Macaca fascicularis: one gene and its partners. The protein of the gene in region 1 interacts with the protein of each later gene in a pairwise test. Links are inferred from orthologs where the notes say so. Each region holds a gene or a part of one and is shown in the gene's direction. Other genes may lie near its edges.

Region 1 (6,620 bases):
TCTGCTACTGGTCCACTCCCCCAGTTCCCACCTACCCTTGACTCTCAAATGTTTGACCTGGAACTTGACTGGACCAGCCACACTGCTTGATCTCTGCATATGTTTCCCATGGTCTTTTGTGCTTCTCCAATAATTTCCCCTCCCTCTGGGCTCAGATCCCTTGTACTCTCAGTGGACTTCATAGCCAGCACCTCTGGACAGCATGATGTAATCTTATGCTGAAAGCCTTGACATAAATGGTATCCTCAACAATAGTGGCAAAAGGCCTTGTATGATGACATGCCACAGCTCCTCCTGTATGGGGGCTATGCTTAATGTAAGCTTATGGGATTTCAAAGATGAGAGGTCCCCCACTGGGACAGAGTCACTCTTTGTAGGTAGAAGGCAGGGACATGCCTGAACTGGCAAGATGAAATTTTCCATGTGAAGTGCTTGTCAAGAGATGTAAAGTAACAGACCCAGACAGAAAGCCTGAAAGCCATGACAGTCTTTTCTGGCTATAGCTGAGCTCTCCTGGGAAGGATGGGAAGGATGAAAGCAGGGTTGAACCCATAAGCCCTGAGAACATGCTTGCTGTAGTATAATCAGAAACTAATGCTGTGTAAGCTCAGTTGTTTTCATGTGTCCTGTCTCTATTTCTAATTTTCCTATAGTTGTTAATAAAGTCTCTTTGTAAATACCAGCCCACTTCAGTTGTGCTTATGGAAACCAAGGAAAAACATTTCTGTCCTCTCCTGAGCCAGAGTTTCAGGAGTAACTTAAGGTGTCATTACCACTTATGGGGTACATAGTAGAGGTAGGAGTCCTAACCAAGATAAGAGTGCTGGAAATCTGTAGAATGAAGGAAGAAATAAGCAAGCAAATAGGATTGAATCATTAGTTTCAGAAAATACGATACTGTGTTTTTAAAATTTGTTCATATATTTGTTTTGGGAAATCAAATTTCTAATGGCTGCATAATACTTTATATATGAGCAATTTTGCCTTAGTTTATTTAAACATTCTGCTCCTGGTCATTTAGGATAGTCCCCACTTGTTTCTATTTTAATAGCAGTAAGATTGGTATAGGCCAAACAGTCCTCTAGTGTCACAAAAGTTTCCCTGTGCCAGTCTCACTCTTCATCACCAACCACATAATCAGGGAAACCCAAAGGTAACACATTTGCTGTAACTGAACCGCCAGTCTACAAAACACCTTTCCCTAGTTCTTCTCTATCTTGAAGTGATATGGTTTGTTCTTCCCCAGATTTATTCTTGTGAACTTCATTTTTGGTTTCTGATCACTTGGCTTCCCTAATTTCCTAGGGTCATTATTAATGTGCTCTGCCCAGGTGCTGATTCCTTCTCAATCTGGAATCATCTACATATATTAAAGACAATGTTTTTCTTCCTCCGCCCTTCCTGCTCCACCCCTTAAATAGGGAAAGGGGTTGTCACAAAGGTTGTGGATACTCAATGTATGTCTGAACTTGGGCACTGAAAGAGAGAGCGGGAATTACTCTAACACACAGTCATCCCATCCATCCCCTCCATGCAACCGTCAACAGTTTACCTTTTCACCTGTGAGATGATGCAGAGTGTTATTCGGAATTAGAAATAATATTATAGACTATCCAGTTCAATTCCCTAACAGATGAGGAAAATGATGTGGCCAAGGTCTCTGAATGAATACGTGGCAGAAACGAAACTGAATTCAGGTCTCCTAAAACCCAGTACGTTTGGCTTGGAGAGTTCCGGATGAGAGCATGGGACTTGGTGGTTTTTGTTATTCATTCAATAACTATATTAAGCGTCTACATACTAGGTGCCAGGCAGTATTTTAGGAGCTGGGGATTCCGTGATGAAGGATGCAGGGGAGACAAAAATCTCTGCCCTTATGGAGCTTTCATTGCCAAAACTTAAGTACTTGGCCTCCCCATCCGGGACAAACTCCCAGGGACCTGGGTAGGAGCGGTAGGGTCTCGTAAAGGAGGGAGTCCCATCCTTTCCCAGCTCCGGTGATTTCTATAGCGAGAGGGCTGATTTACTGCAGAAACCTCCGTAGTGCCCTCCTCCTCCTGCCTCTGCGCCGCCAGGCCCGGTGGGGCCGGCTCCAGAGCGCCACCGTGCCCCAGCTCAACTCTGGGATGATTAGCATCAGCTTCTCTACCCTCTCCGCTTTCCTGCGCACCGCTGGAGGACAGAGAGGCAGGACTCGACTTTAGCGCCATCCTCTGAGAAAGGAATGCGGGCTGGAAAAATCCTTCCAGGGCAGTCGCGCTGGGTCTCATACCCCGGCTAGGGGAGGGACGATCTCTCCCGGACTTGGAGGTTTATGCAGCAAACGGCTCTCTCATGCTTCCCTATTAAACATTGCAACCACACACTCTTTCTAGCCTCGGCCGAAGCCACTGCAGCGTCCCCTCTCCTCCCCCCACCTCGCTAGTCCAGACTCCACAGCCCCACTGCAGCTTCCAGCCATCCTCCCTTTTTCTTCTCCACTTCCTGGTTACCATGGAGACACACGTCATTTACGTGCCGTGCGTCGCCTTGGAAACAGAGGAGCATCCGCGGCGCCGCCGGGAGACCCGCCCCAGCTGCTGCTGCCACACTCGCGGGCGCTGCCAGTTAATGGCCTGGGGGAGTCCCGAGTGCTACGCGCCGCTGGCCTCAGCCCGGACCCGGACCCCTCCGCGAGCGCGTCTGTGACCCACGGAACCGGCAGGCGCTCTCTGCTTGTGGCGCCCAGAGGGCGGCGCTGACACGGGCGCAATCCGGGAGGTGAGGCAGGGCAGGGCACTTTCGTCCCGGGGCGAGCCCAAGAGACGCCGGCTCTGGGACCCTCTCCGGGTTCTCGTCCCGCCGCCTCTTCTCGGCCTCCCGCGACCCTGCCCGCGACCCTGCCCGCGCCCTCTGCCCAGGACTCGTCTCTCACGTCCGCTCCCAGCCAGTCTCGGGAGCCTCTGCTTCCCTCCGCTCCTCCCCACCCCTCCGGGACCTCTCCCCCTCCACCCCCTCCCCCACCCCGGAGGCCGGGCTGGACGCGACCCAGAGCCGCCGCCACCCGCTTCTGCCACTCAATGGAGGACGGTCTGCTGGAGATCATGACCAAGGACGGCGGCGACATGCCGGCGCCCCTGGAGGTGTCCACCGTGCCGGCCGTGGGGGACGTGATCTCCGGGGAGTACAACGGCGGCATGAAGGAACTGATGGAGCACCTGAAAGCCCAGCTGCAAGCCCTGTTTGAGGACGTGAGGGCCATGAGGGGGGCCCTGGACGAGCAGGCCTCGCACATCCAGGTGCTCTCGGACGACGTGTGCGCCAACCAGCGAGCCATCGTCTCCATGTGCCAGATTATGACCACTGCGCCCCGCCAGGGCGGCTTGGGCGTGGTCAGCGGCAAGGGGAGCTTCCCGAGCGACCCCCAAGAGCCGGAGACTCCTTCACCTGGAATTGGGGACAGCGGCTTACTGGGTCGCGATCCCGAGGACGAGGAGGACGAGGAAGAAGAGAAGGAGATGCCCAGCCCCGCCACACCCACCAGTCACTGTGAGCGTCCCGAGAGTCCCTGTGCTGGTCTCCTTGCGGGGGACGGGCCACCTATGGAGCCCCTTGACATGCCCGACATTACCCTGCTGCAACTGGAGGGCGAGGCCTCCCTGTGAGGGGACTCCGTGGGGCACTACCTTCTCGGGCTGTCTTTGGGTTTCCGAGTGCATGACGCGAGGGGACTGAACGGCGCGGTGCGGCATGCTTCCCTTGGACAGCTGCTCTTGTGGGTCAGGCAGAGAGAGACTCCCTCGAGGAAGGATTTGTAGGGTGAAGGACTTTGGGAGCATCAAGAATTCTTTCTGCCCAACTAAGCGAATTATAGCAAACTGCGGAAAGGTGAGGCTCCGGGAGAGGAAGCGCCCATCTCTGGACTCCCATCCATCCCTATCCTGTCCTTTCCCCCTCCCCAGACAACAGGAGAACCCCTGAAATGTGTAAATAAAATTCTGCTTTTTCTATTCTGAAAAAGGACTTATCTAGGACCATGGCAAATAATCTCTAACAATTTACCTAGAAATTAAGGAATTGGGGGTATTCTGTTCTGGCAACAGGAAATTTACCCTTCTGCTGAAATCCAAGATATTCAGTGCTCTGCAGAAGCCTCTCCCCCTCACAGATCTCTGCGGCTGCTGATTGGTAAAGGAAGCTTGAGGAGGGAACTGCAGCCCTAGGAATCTGGGTGAATGGGGTTCCAAGGGCCCCTGGGCTGGGAGGAGCTGGCTATGAATGTGCATGAAGACATAATAGCTCAACCTCTAGGATTTTGCATGCAGAGCGGATCCTGCCTTGTCACTGACTTCATCTGGGATTGCTTTTCCACTCACTGGGGCTTACAGAACAAAGAGCCCGGTTCACAGGCAGAGACTCGGGGGTGCTCAGCAGCAACCCAGATTTAGGGGACATTTGAGGGACTCGGGGCCGCAGCCAAAAACTGTCTCTCCTGGCTACACCTGCTTAACTTCAGTTCCTTTTTCTGTCAATATGTCCCTGCCCGCTGCCTCTCGGTGTTGCCTTCATGTCTTGTGTGTGTTATGTGTGTCTACTTGTGTAGTAGTGTGTGAGCCCTCAGGGTCAGGGCTTGTGGCTCTGATGTTAGGTTCAGGGGGCTTCAGACCCTTCTATGAGCTCCAAGCTATCATGGCGCTTTTCCCTCCCTCTTCTCCCAATCAGGGCATGGAGCATGTGGCTGTCCTGAGGTTCTTTTATTGATGTGCCGCCCTCCCACCTCCTCAAGTGGTGACTTTGTGTGCCCTCCCCCTCCTTTCTGTATTCCTTCGCAATACTTTCCTTGGTGTTAACCTTAATAAAAAGGCGTCATCTCCCCTCCTTGCTGACTGATACTAGAGGGATATCAGGGTTGGGCTTAGTGGGAACTGCAGGGACCATACCTTCCCTCCTCTCTCCTTGGCTCCAGTTCAAGGAGTTGACTGTTCCTGTCCTGGTTGGGACAGGCATTGCCAGCTCCGCCTGCTTTCCCTTCTGTCCTGGACCTTGACCTCAAGCTGCCCTGGGGAAGGAGGTGGTAAGTGTTGAGACTCCTATGCTAACATGAGTTTTTAGTAGCCAGAACTCCAAATGTGCAGGAGACTTTTCAGTGAAGCATCTGGCCCCTGGGAGATGATTTCCAAATCTGCGTCCTGGAATGGCAGGTACTGCACCTGTTCTGTGGAGGGAGTGGGGTGGGGGTATTGTTCTGGAGGGATTACCTGGGATCTCTGGAAATAGAGTGACACATCACAAAGGGAAACCACAATAACTGCCTCAGGCCTCTAGTGGAGAACCCGGGGAAGGTGTTCCCCAGAGGGCTTAACTGACAGCTCTAGTCTACTCCCTTGGGCAATGGAGACCCTGAACAAAATCTGAGAGCAGAATGAGCTAGGGTGCCGTGTGTGTGTGTGTGTGTGTGTGTGTGTGTGTGTGTGTGTGTTTTCTTGCTGCTGGTAGCTGTGGAGTGGTGGAAAGAGAGAGCACTAAAGACACAGATCTGGACTTAAAACTCAGTTCCAACACTGAATTGAGTGCTCAAGGCTTAGTTTCTGGATATGTAAAATGGGAACAAAAAGTTGTTGGGGAGAAAAATATATAGGACTCCTAAGAAGTCTTGTGCAAATGTTAGTTTCCTTATAGTTTTATTGGAGTGGGGGGGGGGGGGTGGTGACTGGCTCCTCTGGGAAAACAAAGCTACCCACGGAAGGCTCTAGAAACTTTCTTTTTATATAATCTTTTCCTATCCAAAGAATCCTTGAGGCTGGGCGCAGTAGCTCACAACTGTAATCCCAGCGCTTTGGGAGGCCAAGGCGGGTGGATCACCTGTGGTCAGGAGTTCGAGACCAGCCTGACCAACATGGAGAAGCTGCGTCTCTACTAAAAATACAAAATTAGTCAGGCGTGGTGGCACATGCCTGTAATCCCAGCTACTCGGGAGGCTGAGGCAGGAGAATCACTTGAACCCGGGAGGCGGAGGCTGTGGTGAGCCAAGATTGTGCCATTGCACTCCAGCCTGGGCATCAAGAGTGAAACTTTGTCTCAAAAAAGACAAAAAAACAAAAGATCCCTTATCCTTCTTTAGAATTAGATATTAGGTATTCTATCTAATTCTACTTATCTGATTCTATCTACAGAATTCTAGTTATTTAGAATTAGATGGAGCTAAGGAAAGGGGAATGGTGAGATTCCTAAGCTAGCATGGACCTTTTCATCATAAATGAAAGGGTCATCATGAATGTCATGTAACTATGGGCCAAAAACGTCTTGGGGGCAGCCAGCCCTGAACACATAGGCTGGCCAGAGGAATCTTGAGTTATGCAGTGACTGGAGAATGTGTATTGGGGGCCCTAGAGAGAGCTGCTAAAGTATATAAGTGGGAAAGTGTCCCTGAGGACTGGGAGATAGGTTCCTATTATAGTTCCAGCAGTAGGCACTAAGAAAAACAATAATAACTGTCATTTATTGAGCATCTACTATGTGCCAGACACTGTACCCAATTTTATCTCTCAACAGCCCTATGAAATAGGTACTATTATTATTTTCATATAACAGTTCAGAAACAGAGTCTAAGACACTCAGGGTCACAGGCTAGTACTTGGCAG
Region 2 (5,923 bases), on another chromosome or scaffold:
TGGAATGCAGTGGCACAATCATGGCTCACTGCAGCCTTGACTTCTGGGCTCAAGTGATCCTCCCACCTCAGCCTCCCACGTAGCCTGGACCATAGGCAAGCACCACCATGCCCGGCTAAATTTTTTATTTTTATTTTTTATAGAGACTGGGGGGTGGTCTTGAACTCCTAGTCTCAAGCAATCTTCCTGCCTTGGCCTCCCAAAGTGCTGGGATTACAGGCATAAGCCACCATGCCCAGCTAAAGCCCTTGCTCTTTTTTTTTTTTTTTATCTTTTTTACAGAGACAGGGTCTTACTATGTTACCCAGGCTGGTCTTGAACTCCTGGACTCAAGCTATCCTCCCTCCTCAGCCTCCCAAAGTGCTGGGATTACAGGCGTGAGCCACCACGCCTAACTAAGCTCTCATTCTTAATCACTGTAGTGTTTATTAGGTATATTGTGGTCTTAGGATATTATATGATCTCTCTGTTTAATTTCTTCATTTGTAAGGGTATAAAAATATTTACATTGAGGGTTTTAAAAATGAGATTAAGTGAAATAATGTACTTAGTTTTTCAACAAATGTTTGTTGACCTCCTACTGTGCTGGGGTGAATACCAGGCATTGTTCCAGGTCCGGACAAAGCAAGACAGCACAGTCCGTACTCCAACAGAACTTAGAATCAGAGGTGGGGAGGCCAGACGATAAAGGGCATACCAGGCAATTTCAGGACATCTAAGCACTGGTGAGGAGACAACACCTTAAGCACAGTGGTCTGGGAAGGCTTACTGGAGGAGGTGACCCCTGGCCTGAAGCCCTTCCCACGAAAGGGAGTAAACCATGCAAAGACGGGGGAGGAGTGGTCCAGCCTGCCCAGAGTGAGTGCTAAACCTCTTTTTCACCAACAAAGCAAGGGAGATTGGGGTACTTCCTTGCATGGCGTTTGTTTTTAGAAGAGAGCACACTCTGTCAGCTAGACTAGATCTTAATGTGACAAAAGACAGGCCAGGCCAGCCAGTTTTTCACAGTCTATTCCAGCTTGTACATTTATAACTCTTCTTCACAGGGTACTGCAAACATGGGTTTCTGAGAACCAATCTTTATAAAAGTGTCTTGAATTCCTTGGTAATTATTTCCTTTTAAGCATATAACTTTTATTATTAATAAACTGCTTTTAAATTAATGGTAGTTGTTGTCCAAAGGAAGTCTGATCTGTGTTACTGAAACCTCAATGATCTTATGTTTCTAATTAAGGAATTGGAAGAAGACATGCATCAGAAAATTGCAAGGGAGATGAACCTCTCTGAAACTGCTTTTATCCGAAAACTGCACCCGACAGACAACTTTGCACAAAGTAAATATGCTTTTTTTTTTTTTTTTTTTTTAAAGAACTGCTCTGTCGCCCAGGCTGGAGGGCAGTGGCATGATCTTGGCTCACTGCAACCTCCACTTCCTGGATTCAAGGAATTGTGCCTCAGCCTCCCAAAGTGCTGGGATTATAGGCGTGAGCCACCGCTTTACAATCATTCTTGAATGACACCAGAAATTATTTTTAGGTGGGGGGATGATCTTTAAGGAAAATGCCCCCTTATTATTTGCATGCAGACAGTAGATAGAGCGGGAGATTCTGATTTGGTTTTCAGTTCATCTGGGGGAGAGGGTGTTGGTGAACCTGAATGTTTCCATTCCAGATCTAGCACTGGGGAGCCCTACGATGCTTGCCTAGCCATCATTCCTCCTTTTACAACATGTTTTGGCTATTCATCATTCTAGAGAAATATTTAGGAAAGAAGAAGATGAGAAATCTGTGACCTGCTTACATGGGAATGATCTCATCTCTCTTTGGCTTTTCCTACCCTCAGGTTCCTGCTTTGGACTAAGATGGTTTACACCGGCAAGTGAGGTTCCGCTCTGTGGCCACGCCACCCTGGCTTCTGCAGCTGTGCTGTTTTACAAAATAAGTAATGTGATTTTCTTTAATGAATCTAACACTTAGCAAATGGCTTTTTTTTTTTTTAAGTTCTCACACAGACTTATTCTGATGGTCCAAAGTGACTGGTATAAAGACTTTGCAGAGTTTACTTCATGCTATTCGTAATGCAGAAACAAAACTAGCGACCTTCAATAGCACTTTTACCTTTCTGAGTATGTGCCCACCATCACTGGAAAGCTGCAGTCAGAATGCTATTTTTTAAACCGGAGATCTCTGGTCTTTGTGAAGCTTGCATGGGCAGAATTGTCATCTCATACGATATGAGATTGGGGACCAACAGGAACATTTCACTCCAATTATTTCCCCTCCCACATTGAAATTCATTTCACAGTAAGAGATTCTTCAATAAACTTTCTTTTTTTTTTTTGAGATGGGGCCTGGCTCGGTTGCCCACGCTGGAGTGCAGCGTTGGGATGTCAGTTCACTGCAACCTCTGACTCCTGGGCTCAAGCCATCCTCCCACTTCAACCTCCAAAGTAACTGGGACCACAGGTGCACACCACCACACCTGGCTAATTTTTGTATTTTTGGTAGAGACGGGGTTTTGCTGTGTTGCCCAGGCTGACCTCAAATTCCTGAGCTCAATTGATCCACCCACCTTGGCCTCCCAAAGTGCTGGGATTACAGGCATGAGCCACCACGCCCAGCCAATAAGAGCTTCTTTGCTCTGAATTTTAAAGATTCCTGGGCCCCCACTGTATATATACATTCACCTTAAGAGGAGTTGCAGCACCTTAATTCTGCCAGTTTCTATCTTAGCTGCATTTAGTTTAATGGACAAAGATCAGGGCCTTGTGGGGATGGGACAGAGGAGAGATTCCTGGGAAATGCCCTAAAACAGGAGGTGGAAGCAGCCAGAAACAAGCATAGACAGCAAACGGAAATGGAAACAAGGAAAGAAACAGGATAATACGACAGAAGGTCACTGTGGGGGTTGGGCAAAACCCCGTCTCTACTAAAAATACAAAAATTAGCCAAGTGTGGTGGCGCATGCCTGTAGTCCCAGCTACTCAGGAGGCTGAGGCAGGAGAATCGCTTGAATCTGGAAGGCGGCGGTTGCAGTGAGCTGAGATTGTGCCATTGCACTCCAGCCTGGGCGACAGGGCAAGACTCCGCCTCAAGGAAAAGAAAAAAAAGAAAGCAGGATTGAATAGAGGGAGAAATTGAACTGCAGAGTAGTAGCAACAAAGAAAGGCCTAGGCCAAATCCATGGGGAGCTCTAAAGCTGGACATTTTTTCAAGTAGTATAGTTCCAAGTAGAGGCAGAGATTCAGGCCTTTTTATCCTCCATGGACCAGTCCCCAAAACCTGGAAAAGATGTATGACTTTGGGCAAGGTAGCTCTACTCAGCCAAAGGTAACTCCAAGAGAGTGACTCAGTTGAGAGCTGTAGGCCGCCAGCACTCTGGGCAAGCAGGGTCAGGGCCGGGTGTAGGCAGAGCCAGCAAGGCCCCAGGTTGCAGCTGAGAGCAGGTGCCTCCTTACATTTTGTACCCTATGGTACTTCCTTGCCTCATGGAGTCCCAGTCCTGAGGCCATGGGTCAGACATAGAATCTGGATCAGCACCCACTAGAGAAGGGGAACTTTGGGCTAAAGGATAAGATGAAGCATCTGTGGGATGAGCTAGAGTGAGAGGAGGAGCATCCCAGGCAGAGGCTAGCAAGTACAAAGCCCCTGGGACCTGTCTATATGATTGGCAGGGATAAAGTTGAGAGGCCATATAATATAATTCAATATACATTTCAAAAAGATGATTTTGGTATCTGTGGATAGGGGACACATGCAAAGGCAAGCAGACATTCTGAAATGTTTAGGAATTGAGTCTTGAAAAATAAGATTTACTGAAATTAAATTGAGTGTCTTTTGTTTTTTTGTTTTTGTCTTTTTTGAGATGGAGTTTTGCTCTTGTAACCCAGGCTGGAGTGCAATGGCAAGATCTTGACTCACTGCAACCTCTGCCTCCTGTGTTTAAGCGATTCTCCTGCCTCAGCCTCCCAAGTAGCTGGGATTACAGGCGCCTACCACCACGCCTGGCTAATTTTTGTATTTTTAATAGAGATGGGGTTTCACCATGTTGGCCAGGCTGGTCTCAAACTCCTGACTTCAGGTGAACCACCTGCCTCGACCTCCCAAAGCAAGATTGAGTGTCTTTTGAAAACTGGACTCCACATGGGTTGGTTTGATGCTGAGGTTTGGAATAATAACACCCTGGAACCCCCCATAGGGCAGTCTTAAGGTTAGATAAGATATGAAAAAATGCTTTGTAAATAGTAATGTCTTATATCGATCATAATGAGAAAAATTAAGCTTTGTGTTTCCAAATGTCAATTTTATGCTCAATGAAAGTTAATAAGTCAAAGTTCTTCACCTTTGACATGTGATTTAAGTTTTACAGAAATATTAAGAGAGAGAAAAGAATTAGGTCACCATTCTTTGTTTTCACTAAAAATGTTACACACACTGATAAGTAGCCCAAGCTGCATCAGTAACAGGGGATGGCAGTATTTGTGGTGCATTCTTTAAATCACATTGCTGTGTAAAAAGTTTGGTTTATTTAGGATAAACCACATTTATTTCATATAAGACTGATATTTACAACTTAAATGTTTTGTTATTCCCTTGGCATATCTTAGACTAGAACAGGTTATGACTCTATGGTTGTTGCTGCAGGATATTTTAAAATCTGTATTAGAAACATTTTAGACTAGGTGCAGTGGTTCATGCCTGTAATCCCAACACTTTGGGAGCCAAGGCAGGAGGATCTCTTCAGTCTAGAACTTAGAGACCAGCCTGGGCAACATAGTGAGACCCTGTCTTTACAAAATATTTAACAATTATCCAGGCATTATGGCTCATGCCTGTAGTCCCAGCTACTCGGGAAGCTGAGGATTGCTTGAGCTCAGGAGGTTAAGGCTGCAGTGAGCCAGTCCCCAGCCTGGGCAACAGAGTGAGACAGTTCCTCAAAGAAAGAGAAAACATTATAAAAGGTAGGTTTAATGTATTAACCTCATTTTATAGATGAGGAAACCGAGATTTAAGGAGGCTGGCCAGGTGTGATGGCTCATGCCTATAATCTAAGCACTTTGGGAGGCTGAGGCAGGTGGATCACTTGTGGTCAGGAGTTTGAGACCAGCCTGACCAACATGATAAAACCTCGTCTCTACTAAAAATACAAAAATTAGCTGGGTGTGATGGTGCACACCTGTAATTCCAGCTTCTTGGGAAGCTGAGGTGGGAGAATCACTTGAACATGGGAGGCAGAGGGTACAGTGAGCTGAGATCGCGCCACTGTACTCCAGCCTGGGCAACACAGTGAGACCCTGTCTCAAGAAAATAAAAAAAGGGCCGGGCGCAGTGGCTCAAGCCTGTAATCCCAGCACTTTGGGAGGCCGAGACGGGCGGATCACGAGGTCAGGAGATCGAGACCATCCTGGCTAACACGGTGAAACCCCGTCTCTACTAAAAACTACAAAAACTAGCCGGGCGAGGTGGCGGGCGCTTGTAGTCCCAACTACTCGGGAGGCTGAGGCAGGAGAATGGCGTAAACCCGGGAGGCGGAGCTTGCAGTGAGCTGAGATCCGGCCACTGCACTCCAGCCTGGGCGACAGAGCGAGACTCCGTCTCAAAAAAAAAAAAAAGAAAATTAAAAAAGGAGGCTAAGTTAGTAAGGGCACAGTAAGCAGTAAAGAGCTGGGATCTGAAGACTTGAAGTATGACGCCATATCCAATCAGTTTTGTTCTTGGTTCTCAAGTTAGAATCTAGTGAGAGTTTTCTCCATTCTAGACCCCAGCAACCCAAACCTCGCTCCATCATAGAAAAGGATGGCATTGCCAGAAAATCTAAGATAATGCAAAGGTGTTTGAAATGGACATGTACATATATGACAAAGTTAATTTCCTATTTCTTGATTCCTATTTTGGCCAGAAAACATGAATAGCACACTCACGTT
Region 3 (5,923 bases), on another chromosome or scaffold:
GTTCAGCTGCCATTTGTAAGTGAGAACATGCAGTGTTTGGTTTTCTGTTCATGCATTACTTTGCTGAAGATAATGGCTTCCAGCTTCATCCATGTCCCTGCAAAGAACATGATCTCATTCCTCTTTATGGCTGTATAGTACAGTCTAACATTGATGGGCATTTGGGTTGGTTCTGTGTCTCTGCTATTGTGAGTAGGGCTGCAGTGAACATTCACATGCATGTGTCTTTATAATAGAATGATTTATATTCCTTTGGGTATATACTCAGGAATGGGATTGCTGCTCAAATGGTATTTCTGGTTCTAAATCTTTGAGGAATTGCCACACTGTCTTCCACAATGGTTGAACTAATTTACATTCCCACCAACAGTGTTAAAGCATTCCTATTTCTCCACAGCCTCCACCAGCATCTATTGTTTCTTGACATTTTAATAGTCACCATTCTGACTGGCGTGAGATGGAATTACCAGTATGTTTTAAGAGTTCCCAGAATGCTTACCCATTTGAAAAATTATTGTTTTTAAAAAACTCATGCTAACTCTGTGGGCAAAAAATTTCTCAGCAGTTTAATTTGCATTTCCTTGTTTAATACAGAAGTCTTTTGTGACTATATTTTTATACTTTTGCTAAGGATTATTTCGTGCAGTGGTTAAGTGGTGCTGTTCTAAAGCCTGAGTGTTCACTTACTGGTGACCTTGAGTAAATTCCTTGATCTCCCTATGGTCACACCAACTCTGATAATGGCAGTACCTACTCATAGAATCCGTGTAAAGACTAAAGAGGGTATCACATGAAAGATGCCTAGAAAATATCAGGCATATATAACATACGTTTATGTTCTCTGTCATTTATATCTTCTCTGAATTGCCCTTTCACTGTCTTGGGGTAAGTAGATTTTTTGGTAGCTTAGAAATATATATATTAAGTATCTTAACCCATTGTCTGTCATATATTATAATTTCTTCCCAGTTGGTGGTTTGTCTTTCAATTTTGTTCAAAGTGAGGAAACAGTTGAATATCAAGAAATTCAGACCGGCCGGGGGCGGTGGCTCAAGCCTGTAATCCCAGCACTTTGGGAGGCCGAGACGGGCAGATCATGAGGTCAGGAGATCGAGACCATCCTGGCTAACACAATGAAACCCCGTCTCCACTAAAAATACAAAAAAATTAGCCGGGCGTGGTGGCGGCGCCTGTAGTCCCAGCTACTCGGGAGGCTGAGGCAGGAGAATGGCGGGAACCCGGGAAGCGGAGCTTGCAGTGAGCCGAGATCGCGCCACTGCACTCCAGCCTGGGCGACAGAGCGAGACTCCGCCTCAAAAAAAAAAAAAAAAAAAAAAGAAAAAAAAAAAGAAATTCAGACCAAGTGAAGGCATAGTTTTGGTCCTGGATCTTTATTCTGCCTGTCAACCATACTGCTAGGAGAATCATCTTCCCCATCATTGAGAACGTCTGGTATTGATTATAGCCACCAGATATCAGAAATGGTGGCACTTTAAGCAGCTTATATTGTTATATTAAAAATCACCATCATAGATAAAACTTCTGCTTAATTTATGTAAATGATGATCACGGTAGATGAAAGGCCATGGTTAATATTTCACCATTTTCCATTTATCACCAAATCCAACTTGTCAGCATTACATTAGTGGTGATATAAAATGAATTACTTCAACTTGAAAGAAGCTTTTAATTTGAGACCAAGAACCCTGATAGACTGTGTAACCATTAAGTGTTATTACTTTTCCCCTCTTTGCTGCAAATTGTGTAGTAGAAAAGGAATCTTTCTCATCATGAAGTCTCATGTATAAACTCAAGATGTTCCCTATATTAGCATATATACATGCTACTAAAAATGGAAGTTTTTTACTTCACTGAAAAACAATATGGACATAGAGACTATTACTTTGCCTTATTAAGCAGAGGAATTACCAGAACCATCCTTGTAAAAACATGAACATTCTGCCTGAGCTGCCAATTTGTTTCAAAAAGGTATTAAAAGTGGGCAAACATTGCTGCTACATGATGAATGAATGGGAATGCGTTATATTATTGCTACTAGGCCACATATGATTGGAATTTTCCATATGAAAGCATTTTAAAAAGCAGTGTTATTTACAATGATTATCATTAGGGAATGATATTGAAAAGAGGAGTCAGGAAACCTCAACTTCTAAATTTTACACTTAGATTTCTGTATTTTGTTGTTATCATTTTACCTTAAGCATGTTTTACTTTTACAACATCTTTAAGAGAAAAAAAATTAAATCATGATTTGCATGGTAACTATTTTAAGAGTTGTTAGTATGTACAGGAGGGGATGCTTACCAGTGCTGAAATAGACACAAAATAGGCAACATTTAGATGTTGGCCCCAAGGCCTTGTAGATTGTCCTCAATTAAAAATGCTTAAGTTTGCAAGTCTTTTTTCTTTTTTCCTTTTTTTTTTTTCCTGTGTCTGTTTTAATTTGCGATGATTGAAAAACATAAAGCAAGAAAAAGAGATGGTTTCCCAATGCAATCTAAAATTTTAAATTGTTGATTGAGTTCTAGACGGCTATGATACTGAACTGCAGGTGCATATGGGCCTTAAAATGCAACTGTTTCATGTTGTCCAGTCATCTTATTTATTTCCTTGTAAGCAAAATGTCAGAACATTTAGCTCCTTTAGTGCACTTATTTCCCACACCTAGGAATAAAAAATTGGGACTGCTGAGTAAAATGTTAAGTTTCAATCCCTTGAAGGCAAATACTTCACTCTCAATAGAGAAATTTAACTGAATTACCTCTACTTGCAGGCAAAATGAAAGACCGGCTAGCAGAACTTCTGGACTTGTCCAAGCAATATGACCAGCAGTTCCCAGACGGGGACGATGAATTTGACTCGCCCCACGAGGACATCGTGTTCGAGACGGACCACATCCTGGAGTCCCTGTACCGAGACATCCAGGACATCCAGGATGAAAACCAGTTGCTGGTGGCCGACGTGAAGCGCCTGGGAAAGCAGAACGCCCGCTTCCTCACGTCCATGCGGCGCCTCAGCAGCATCAAGCGCGACACCAACTCCATCGCCAAGGCCATCAAGGCCCGGGGCGAGGTCATCCACTGCAAGCTACGCTCCATGAAGGAGCTGAGCGAGGCCGCCGAAGCCCAGCACGGCCCGCACTCAGCGGTGGCGCGCATCTCGCGGGCGCAGTACAACGCGCTCACCCTCACCTTCCAGCGCGCCATGCACGACTACAACCAGGCCGAGATGAAGCAGCGCGACAACTGCAAGATCCGCATCCAGCGCCAGCTGGAGATCATGGGGAAGGACGTCTCGGGCGACCAGATCGAGGACATGTTCGAGCAGAGCAAGTGGGATATGTTCTCCGAGAACCTGCTGGCTGATGTAAAAGGCGCGCGGGCCGCCCTTAACGAGATCGAGAGCCGCCACCGCGAGCTGCTGCTCCTGGAGAGCCGCATCCGCGACGTGCACGAGCTCTTCTTGCAGATGGCAGTGCTGGTGGAGAAGCAGGCCGACACCCTGAACGTCATCGAGCTCAACGTACAAAAGACGGTCGACTACACCGGCCAGGCCAAGGCGCAGGTGCGGAAGGCCGTGCAGTACAAGAAAAAGAACCCCTGCCGGACCCTCTGCTGCTTCTGCTGTCCCTGCCTCAAGTAGCAGGCCGGCCCGGGCCGCCACCACCCATCCCAGACCATGGAGCACGCTGGGAAGGACGCACCATCTCTGCCCTGCAGGGAGTTGCCCCAACTCTTTACGGAACTCAGTCTTTAGAGAAGAAACGCGAGGTTCAAGAATTGCAAACAAGCCCGTGCTTGGAAAGATGGTTAGTTGATGCCGTCCAATGGTTCTTCAGTAAAGATAGATTCCTACCAAGTTGTGCAATGTCATTATATGTCACCTTGCACTCTTAGCCTCTAGACAGAAGCCAAGTAAGGAACTGACGTTGTATCTAACTGTAGGGTGAATGTCTGAGGCCTGCCTCCTAATAAAGATTCAAGGAAGGAGTCAGTTGTTCATCTGCTAATAGAATGAACTCATGATGGAAACTTCAGTTCATTTGCTTTGTCCTGAAAATTCCCTGGTTCTGTTCCATTCTGAGTGAAATTGGCCTTGGGAAAAACCACGTTCTTCCTTTCCGATTCTTCATCCGGTCTATGCTATGCGATTCCTCCCCAAATATGGATCTTATTTCTGCTCATTTCCCCTACTTATTAAAATCACACCAAACCCTTACTATTTTCTTATCTCTTTCACTTTTTAAATATCTTTCACCAGGTTATATTTTGGGATTATTTTTCCAAATATTTTTAAGCACTGAATCGAACAAGCACTCAAATTGAAGTATTAGTCATGTTTTATGTATTTTTCACTGATAAAAATTATTTAACATTTTTCTTTTTACTTGATTACATATGCACATGTATTTGTAAATGTAAAATACTAATATTCACTAATGTATGTACATAATGATCAATTGGTTTAACTTCTTTTATGTAAGTATGGTATATAAATTTCAAGAACACTTTTTTGGCTGTTGGTGTTGGTTTGCTTGTTTTGAGTTTGTTTCACTCCAGTTTGCCCCTTCATAGTCCAGTTTGGGTCAAAACTTCATGTTAAACAACTCTGCATTGGTTATGGTGGTAGACATATGACGGTAGAAAATGTATACAGAGCTAGAGACAACTAACATTCTTGGAAATACTGCTTTTGTTTTACTGTGGACCATTCCTTTCATGCATTGAAATGGAGAAATTTAAAGTAAAAGAATTCTGTTTTTCAAGCAAGCTTAATAAACATTACATTATACATATATTTTTATACATCTGTCTTGATCATTTAGTTTACTTTCTCAATTATTGTCAAAATTTTTTTTTCCTTTTTTTTTGTTTTTGAGATGGAGTCTCACTCTGTTGCCTCTGGAGTGCAGTGGCGGGACCTCGGCTCACTGCAACCTCTGCCTCCCAGGTTCAAGCGATTCTCCTGACTCAGCCTCTGGAGTAGCTGGGACTACGGGCACATGCCACCATGCCTGACTAATTTTTTGTGTTTTTAGTAGAGACAATGTTTCACCATGTTAGCCAGGATGGTTTTGATCTCCTGACCTCGTGATCCGCCCGCATCGGCCTCCCAAAGTGCTGGGATTACAGGCGTGAGCCACAGTTCCTGACCTTTTTTTTTTTCGCTTTTGAGACAGGGTCTCCCTTTGTCACCCAGGCTGAAGTGCAGTGGCATAATCATGGCTTACTGCAGCCTTAACCTCCCAGGCTCAAGTGATACTCGCACCTCAGCCTGCAAATAGCTGAGACTACAGATATGTGCCACCATGCCTGGCTAATTTTTGTATTTTTCTGTAGACACAGGGTTTGCCATGTTGTTCAGGCTGGTCTCAAACTTGCGAGCTTGAGCAACCCGCCCATGTTGGCCTCCCAAAGTGCTGAGACTACAGGCCTGAGCCACTGCTTCTGGCCAAATTTTTTTCTTCTAGCTACTTGAGGCTGCCACATCTGGATGGAACTGAGTGGAGGGGGAAAAGAATGAAAAACTCAAAAGAGTTCCCATGAGGGTGTCTTGCTTTCTCTCCTGAGTTACAATACTTCAGCAAAATCATCAGGCTTTAGAGATATGGTGTAGTCTGCTAACTTTTTAATGCCCTTACCCACATTTACCATGTTTCCTGGCCTTCCTTTGTGTCAACTCTTAGCTCTTCCTAATCATTATTTAATACACGAGTGAGTTTAGTAGTGATCATATTTCTCAGGTCCTTCAGAAGGTGGAATTTTAAAAGAAGTAGAAGGAAGAGTATATGAATTCTTTGGCGCTCACTCCCTGACTTGCTTATGGCCAGGACAATCTATCCCCTGTATCTAATTTTAATTTCATGGTTAAATTTGAGAATTGTGGAAACCAAGTTTCACAA

What was found.
Region 2: the proteins of CCDC184 (region 1) and PBLD interact in binary tests that used the Homo sapiens proteins (3 or more experiments, as listed by UniProt). The two-hybrid records come from large-scale screens. The link is inferred for Macaca fascicularis from reciprocal best matches to the Homo sapiens genes CCDC184 and PBLD.
Region 3: the proteins of CCDC184 (region 1) and STX11 interact in binary tests that used the Homo sapiens proteins (3 or more experiments, as listed by UniProt). The two-hybrid records come from large-scale screens. The link is inferred for Macaca fascicularis from reciprocal best matches to the Homo sapiens genes CCDC184 and STX11.

The regions. Positions count from the first base shown.
Region 1 is NC_088385.1:54,942,856-54,949,475, forward strand, and holds CCDC184 (coiled-coil domain-containing protein 184), read left to right. Parts: upstream 1-2,560; 5' UTR 2,561-3,059; coding exon 3,060-3,644; 3' UTR 3,645-4,857; downstream 4,858-6,620.
Region 2 is NC_088383.1:78,266,725-78,272,647, forward strand, and holds part of PBLD (phenazine biosynthesis-like domain-containing protein), read left to right. Parts: intron 1-1,234; coding exon 1,235-1,334; intron 1,335-1,842; coding exon 1,843-1,941; intron 1,942-5,898; coding exon 5,899-5,923.
Region 3 is NC_088378.1:48,395,824-48,401,746, forward strand, and holds the end of STX11 (syntaxin-11), read left to right. Parts: intron 1-2,794; 5' UTR 2,795-2,799; coding exon 2,800-3,663; 3' UTR 3,664-4,814; downstream 4,815-5,923. UniProt on the Homo sapiens protein: SNARE that acts to regulate protein transport between late endosomes and the trans-Golgi network.